Linked DNA regions of Canis lupus familiaris. The protein of the gene in region 2 interacts with the protein of the main gene of each other region in a biochemical or structural test. Links are inferred from orthologs where the notes say so. Each region holds a gene or a part of one and is shown on either strand. Other genes may lie near its edges.

Region 1 (3,818 bases), on a different chromosome or scaffold from region 2:
AGATATTTCATCTTTGAGTCTTATTACATCATACTATAATGGTAAAGGTGACTTTCATATATCAACAAATTTTGTTTTTAATTTCATATTAACATTTTTCATTTCAGTAAGTATTCCAGAGCACGATGAGGCAGACGAGATAAGTGGTAGGTACTACGCTGCCGACTCTTCTTCCTTGACTATCAGCTCAAGATTTATGAAGTGTCATTGTATAAGTAACGTCTTAGCTGTCACAATTTTGACTTGAATTAAAAGAGCAAATGAGACAAGATAGTAAAAATGCTAAAAATTTTATCTTTTCAAAGCACAAGTTTGCATGTTACTTATAGTAGTCGTAAGCCTTAATTATTTTTAATAAGAAAAAATAACCAGATTGACTTTCTTTTCAGAAATCCTTGACAGTGTCTGTAATTGCCCGGACTTCTCTTCTCTGTTGTAGATGAAAACAGAGAAAAGGTGAATGACCAGGCAAAACTGATCGTGGGGATCGTCGTTGGTCTCCTCCTGGCTGCCCTAGTTGCTGGTGTTGTCTACTGGCTGTACATGAAGAAATCAAAGTAAGTTATGGAAAGAAGACCTCATTTGTTCACTGACTTCCCCTGGGAGAATTATTAAAACAGTTTGTCACTGTTCTGTAAGAGGAAAGGCGTGGCCCTCAAATCAGGGTGATCATCATGTTCTGCTTGCAGCTCACAGTGACTGCCTTGCCAGCATTGGAGAATTGCCTTGGGGTGTGATTTCACATGTGTCCCCTTATTTTTCTCAGTCAGTAGTCTAAATTCAATTATTTGATTTCTTTTTTTTTTTTTTCGGTGCCTAGGGGGACATTTTAAAAAGCTTATACTTCCAAAAGGTCAACCATTCTAAGCCATGTGACTAAGGTTGGTGGACATTAATTAAAAGTGGTTAGTAAATCCTGTGGGAGTGGCCGGGTGCCTGCAGTAACAGGTCTGGCCAGCAGTGAAACAGTTGGCGAGGTGGTATTATCTTGTCACTTCTCTGTTCTCGTTAAGTCACTTTAGTCCATAAAAGGATTTTATTCAGAGGGGAAAATAACCCTCGTTCTTTTTTCTGCAATTCAAAAAGGAAATAATTAGACAAAGTACGAAGACTGCTTTAAAAATTATTTAGATGGTGTTTAGATTAAAAATTATTAGTCATAAATAATACAGATAGATCCAACTTTATAATATCTAATAGTGGTTTATAATGAAAATCTAATTAACCAAAGGAGATTCTTAACATACACACATTTTTAATATTCCTCATCACCCCAGCCTTGACTGCAGATTTGAGTGGGCACCTAGCATTTGCATTTTTAAAGTTTTGTTAGTGATTCTGTGGTATACCATTGGTTTCAAACATGAGGAAATTGATTTTTGCAAGGGGATGGATATAGCTAGTGGCAACTCTGGGCTTAATTTTATATTTTCTTGATGTCCGGTATCACCCCCTTTCAGCAACTCAGGTAGGTTAACTTAAAAGAAAATCAAAAGGAAAAGCAGCCTGAATAAGACCCATGATCCTACCTTGTAAAGAAAGCCGTTTTAGTGAAGAAAGTAATATTCAAAAGGAGCTGCCATCAAAGGGAGGCAATAGCTCAGAAATTTTTAAGGTCACATAGTATGAGCTTGCATTGAGTTCTGTTTTGATCCTGCCATCATCTCTGAAGTAGATACCGTTATTACTCATATTCTACATTTGAAAGAATTAAGGCAGAGGATGGTTAAATGACTTGCTTGAGGTTACACAGTTCATAGGGGCCAAAGTTGTATTTGATTTCAGGCAGTGCTGTTTCAGCATCTTTGTGCTTAATCACTAGTTCTTATTTTCTCTCACCATGCCTTCCTTTTTCTCTGTTTTTCGGTCATGCAAGGCAGAAACGTCTTCCTAATATGTGTTGTAGTTGATGAATTTGTCCACTCTCACATCGGGGCACAGTCACTTCTGATCTTGACACCTCACTACTCAATCTTGAGCGGCCCCCACCGTCACTTGGTGACAAATGTGTTCCTTTTTGCAGTGACCTTTTTACCTACCAACACTTCATGTGGGTTTGTGTCCATGGTTCCTGTGGAAACTTTAGAAGATTGCCTGTACCATGTGCATGAAAGGAAATGCAAACAGTTGCCCAGAGGCAGTATCTTATTAAAATTCTCCTTCTATGTGTATAAGTTTCTTGCTGGTCAAAATCTTATTCTCTCCTTATAATCTGCTCTACAGTACTCACAAATTAACATCTTGGGCTCTGGGGTATTTCCATCTTATTTACTTAGGATTTCTGATGCATTCCAATATAGTTTTATTTCTTAAAAGAATAAAAAAATGAAATTTCTCTGTATCCTGGAATTGAGCTGAAAAATAAACAGCAGTTCTCTACATTATGGCCAAATAAGCATTAAATTTTTGGAACATCCTCAACATTCTTAATCATCCTATTCTAATGGCCAAGATCACATTAGACCCCATTTATCCTTCTCTGTATAAAAAAGGAAATTATGTGTGTGGGATTTTGTTGTTTCTTCATTGGTTATTATCACATGATGACCCAAAATTAAAATCATGGATAAATAAATGCTGGACACTTGGCTTCATGGTGTCTTTAGGTTAAGGGTTAAGACTTCATGGATTTCCATTAAAGTACCTCATTAAATTAAGCACGGATTTTACCATCTGCCTTGACCATTTGTCGAAATAATTGTTATTTAATTGAAAAGCATATCAATTTTGCCAGAGTTAATATTATTTATAATATCAAGGTAATAAATTAGAATTCTCATCCTAAGCATCAAAGTGCTTTTATGAAAAATTTGTGAAACTCTTAAGATTTGCCATGTTTTCTGCCTTCCTGATAGGTCACTCCTTGCTAGTGCCCTCTGAGATAAGCCAGCATTTTTGCAATATGAGTTGTTGTTAATCCCTGTGTCCAGAGTAAGTGCACTTTTGTAGTAAGAGCTTTCAAGTTAAGAATTGCTAAGGCCATTTTGCGGTCTAGTATGTTCTTTTTCTTCTTTTCTACATAATAACTTCACCTTTATGAATCAATACGAGGATTTCATTACTATCTTTAGCTCTTTCATCACCATTTTACATGAGTAGAAGACATTTTTTAATAAAGATATAGAGCTTTTCCCTAGATATATACCCCTTTGTTTACCATCTTGAAAAATAATACCATTAACGATCTCGTGAGTCACCATTATGACAAACACTTTGAACAAAAGGTATGAGCTAAACATTTTATCTAAAAACCTCAGTGATACAACTCACAGAGCAGGGGAGTTTTAAACAACATTCAGGGGAAGTTCTCTGCATTGGCATTTTAAAAAGTCAGTGGAGAGAGAGGAGAGAAATAATCTTTTATGCCCAAGGAGAACTTAAAGAGTACATTTGTAACAGTCCTAGTGATACTTAGCAAATATTCATAACCCATTCCATTAGTGTGAGCTACATATTTTTATATCTATTTCAAATGTGGAGAGCTACAGCAAGAAATGCTTAGTAGTTGTACTTGGCATTGTGTTCTGGTATATTCATTGGAGAGTTAGGACTCAGGATTCCTCTGCTGCTTTGAATCATATAAATTCTCACTGGAAGCTGTTTCTCTAAATCGGCTGTTTTTTGTTAATGAAAATGAATGACTGATCATTTCCTGTGTATGTAGGGTATTTACTCACAGTTCTAGGCAAAAAGCATTAATTGACTAAGCCTACTTCATGTCTAGTTATTTAATAGATAGGAGAAAAAAAAATAAAAATAAAAAATAAAAAATAAAAAAAAATAGATAGGAGAACATTAAAGAATGAGGACTGATTCAA
Region 2 (3,818 bases):
CAGTCAGCCTTCCTGCACGGCCCCATCAAGATTTTCCTGGAACATCATTTTATTTGATATTAAATGTTTTTTTTAAATTTTTATTTATTTATGATAGTCACACACAGAGAGAGAGAGAGAGAGAGAGAGAGGCAGAGACACAGGCAGAGGGAGAAGCAGGCTCCAAGCACCGGGAGCCCGACGTGGGATTCGATCCCGGGTCTCCAGGATCGCGCCCTGGGCCAAAGGCAGGCGCTAAACCGCTGCACCACCCAGGGATCCCTATTTGATATTTTCTAAACGAAAGAAAAATTGGATCGGTCATCCATCTTTTATAACATACGGATTTATACTTCGTGAAAGTCTCTTAGGGAACTCAGGCTTAGTCACACTGCGCTGTGACTGTACTAAATCACCTTTATTTGAAAGCATTCGAGGACAAGAAAACCAATACCAAACCCAGCTGAATGGTAGAAATACTCCCTGTGCGAGGCCTCCATGTGTTTAAGGAAAGAACATGAACGCAGAACCTGGCACACAGGTGAAGCACAGAGCATTTGCTCACTGACTCTCGTAGTCTGAGGGTTAAGAGTCACACTGGCTGCTTCTCTGGGCCCAGTGAGGACCTCCCCGTGCCTTAGTTTCTTCAGCTGTAACGTGGGGACGCCGACGTACCCACCTCACCGAGTCCTTACGATGATCCGAATAAGATCATGTTTTAAGTGTCCCGCCCGGCCTGTAGCAATTGCTCTATGTTTTGGAAGTAAGCAAAGGAAATAAGCCAATGGGCGGGGGGAGCTTGGCAAACCCAGGCTGGACAGTCTGGTACGAGGCGGGCGACCTGGGAGACCTGGCGCTGTCCCTGCCCGTGTGTCTGGGCCCCGCCGGCTGCGCGCTCCTGCCGCTCCCTGCACCTCTCCGCCTGCCACTTGGCCCTGCCCGACTCTGCTCTCTCCCCAGTTCCCATGCTGCCCATCCAGGCGCAGGCCCCACCCCCCAAGGACCCGGACTCCAGCTCGGACTCAGACTATGAGCACTATGACTTCAGCACCCAGCCTCCCGTGGCCCTGACCACCTTTTACAGTGAGTGCCCGGGCCCGGGCTCCTGGGAGCCCCACCCCACCCCCAACCAGGGAGAGGATCCCGTTGGCTGGGGAGCTCCGCGGGGCCCACCAGGTCACCCTGCATGCTGTCCGTGGAGTGTCCCTTGACTCAAAGTGGCCCTACGCTGAAGCTCTCCAGGTGTTTCGTGACTCTAGAGGCCCCTCTGTGTCTTCGACCTCCTTCCCTCCTGCCTTTGTCCGGCCACACAGGGTCTTAGGACTTGTCCCTTGACACTCACCTCCAGGGTGGCCTTGTCTGTGTGAAGCAAGGAAGTCCAGGCAAGAGACACGTTCAGACGGCTTCTCACAGGCTCACGCCCCTTCTGTGCCCCCTCCTGCCCATCAACCTCACCCCTTCCCCCACCTTGCTGGGGAGCCCAGTTTAAACCCCCAGCTGACTTTTCCAGCTCTCCTCCCTGCCTGCTGGGGACTGGAGGAGGATAGACAGTGCTTAAGGCAGGGCCCAGGCAATGCTGGACATTAGAGCAAAGAATCCCACACCTATGGGGGACTCCCTTGGGAGCTCATCAAACATCCCCCAGCTTCCCTCCGGGACCCACCCTATGAGTTAGGATGAGAGTTTGTGTGTCACCGGCGCCCCCAAACAATGGCATCCTGAGAAGTTGGCAGGGACCAGCCTTCCTCTCTCTTGCTGCTGTGTAGTCCCTAAGATGTTGCGCTCATCAACATGGTCCAGAACGGCTCACTGCCATTTCCACCTCCTGGACAGCAGCAGGGGGAGGGAAGACGAGGCGGGCTCAGCACTGACAGGCAGGGCACCAAGGATGCCCCCTCACTGCCACGCTCAGCCTTGCCCACCACAGTCTAACTCCCCAGCTGCAGGAGAGGCCACAGACGAAGCTTCTATCCTGGGCAGCTGTGTGTCCAGATGAAGGCCAGAGGGTCTGCCCTTAGCGGGGTGGAGAATAGAGATTAGTAGGGACGCTGGTCGTCTGTGCCTCACCTGCTGGACCAGGGCCTCTGCGGAAGGAGGTGGCTGACTGTGCTTCTGCCTTGCCATGCACCAGCATTTGGGAGCCACCAGGGTGAGGCATCCTTGGAACCTGAGGTTCTGCTCTCAGGCATGCAAGATGCTAGATCGAGAGTCTAAAATCCCATGACACTGCGAGTGACGTTCTATATACCAGGTTTGAGAGCGCAGACTCCAAGGTCCCAGGTTCTCAAGTCCTTAAGATTCAACAGATCCATATCACGTCTCCAGTTCTCGAGCAAAAGTTCCCCAGAGCCTAGGAGGCAGGGATTCCAGACCTCCGGGCTTCCACTCTGCCCTGGCTGGGGCACCGTCTGCCCTCTTCCTGCCCACAGCCCCCAGGGCACAAGGAGACAGCCCAGGACTCTCCCTGTTTCCTTAAGCAGAAGGAGGGGTATCTGGGGCAAGGCACAAGGCACTAGGGTTTTGGGCAGAAGCAACCTCATCCCGTGCTGGTTAAAGACTGAGATTCAGGACTGGCTGGACTCGGATAAGAGCCCGGGAGCTGACGGAAGTGCTAACCCCTCTGTACTTCTGGGCTTGTCCTTCCACACTATTCAGCCCCAGGGCACCCCTGGAAGTGCCAAGGCACTGCAGCCCTTCCTGTAGGCTCCGGGGGCGAGGAGGTAGGTCTTCACCCCCCCTCACCACCACTCTGCTTGTAGATTCCCAGCGGCACCGCATCACAGACGAGGAGGTCCAGCAGAACCGGTTCCAGATGCCCCTCCTGGAAGAAGCTGAGGAGGTCCAGCAGAACCAGTTCCAGATGCTCCCCCCGGAGGAAGGTGAGTCAGGCTGGGGAGGTGCACGGAGGCAGTGATAACGATGTCAACCTTGACTCCGGACCTAGCAACTCAGCTCACCTTGAGAAATGCCAACAGCAGCCCCCCTCGATAGCTCCTTTCTGATTTTAACATTCCGCTTGGCCATTAGTTCTTTCTTGGGTCTAATTTGAAGCCCTCTTGCTGCATTGCTGCTTCTTTCCTCACCATTCTCCCTTTCCTGGGCCAGGACTTGAAGAGATGAACGTGTCCCAGGTCCCACCCATTGGTGCTGGACACTACATGGCAAACACCCCCTCCCTGGGCTCTCAACACCGCCCAAGGAGCAGCAGTGAATCCAGCACATCCTCTGGGGAGGATTACTGCAATAGCCCCAGCAGCAGGCTACCTCCGTGGACCCCCCAGGTGTTTTCTGCAGAGAGGAGCCCCCACCTGGAGCAGCCCCCGAACCTGGAGCTGGCTGGCTCCCAAGCTACTTTTTCAGGTGAGCTGGGCCCAGGAGGATCCCGTGTGTGCCCCAGTTCCCATCCTATAGCTGACCTGGCTGGAGGAAGCATAAAGCTGGAAGCCCTGAGCCAGGCTGAGCTCAGGATTCTAGCCCCAGCACAAGTCTCCACCCCTCTCCGGGCCCTCACCTCCTCATTCATGGTCAAGCCAGGAACTGGAGTCTTGTGAGTCATGAGGGCTTCCCAGCTCTGGCAGCTCTCGAGCTGGCTGTCTCCAGGCAGAGTGATTGGTTCTCGGGGTTTCCAGCAGGGCCCTTGGCTGATGACAGCTCCAGCACTTCATCCGGGGAGTGGTACCAGAACTTCCAGCCGCCGCCCCAGCCCCCCTCAACGGAGCAGTTTGAGTGTCCAGGTACCAGTGGCAAGGGAGGTGGTCCTGGGAGGAGGAACAGACAGGGAGCAGGGGGCGGATGAGAGGGGGAACTCCACACCCTTTGGATTCATTAGCCCAAGAAGA

What was found.
Region 1: the proteins of CD6 (region 2) and ALCAM form a complex in vitro, tested with the Homo sapiens proteins (4 studies listed by BioGRID and IntAct). The link is inferred for Canis lupus familiaris from reciprocal best matches to the Homo sapiens genes CD6 and ALCAM.

Annotation. Positions count from the first base shown.
Region 1 is NC_049254.1:11,674,527-11,678,344, forward strand, and holds part of ALCAM (CD166 antigen precursor), read left to right. Parts: intron 1-107; coding exon 108-146; intron 147-439; coding exon 440-557; intron 558-3,818. UniProt on the Homo sapiens protein: Cell adhesion molecule that mediates both heterotypic cell-cell contacts via its interaction with CD6, as well as homotypic cell-cell contacts. Promotes T-cell activation and proliferation via its interactions with CD6.
Region 2 is NC_049239.1:55,906,701-55,910,518, reverse strand, and holds part of CD6 (T-cell differentiation antigen CD6), read left to right. Parts: intron 1-939; coding exon 940-1,062; intron 1,063-2,738; coding exon 2,739-2,858; intron 2,859-3,084; coding exon 3,085-3,339; intron 3,340-3,608; coding exon 3,609-3,713; intron 3,714-3,818.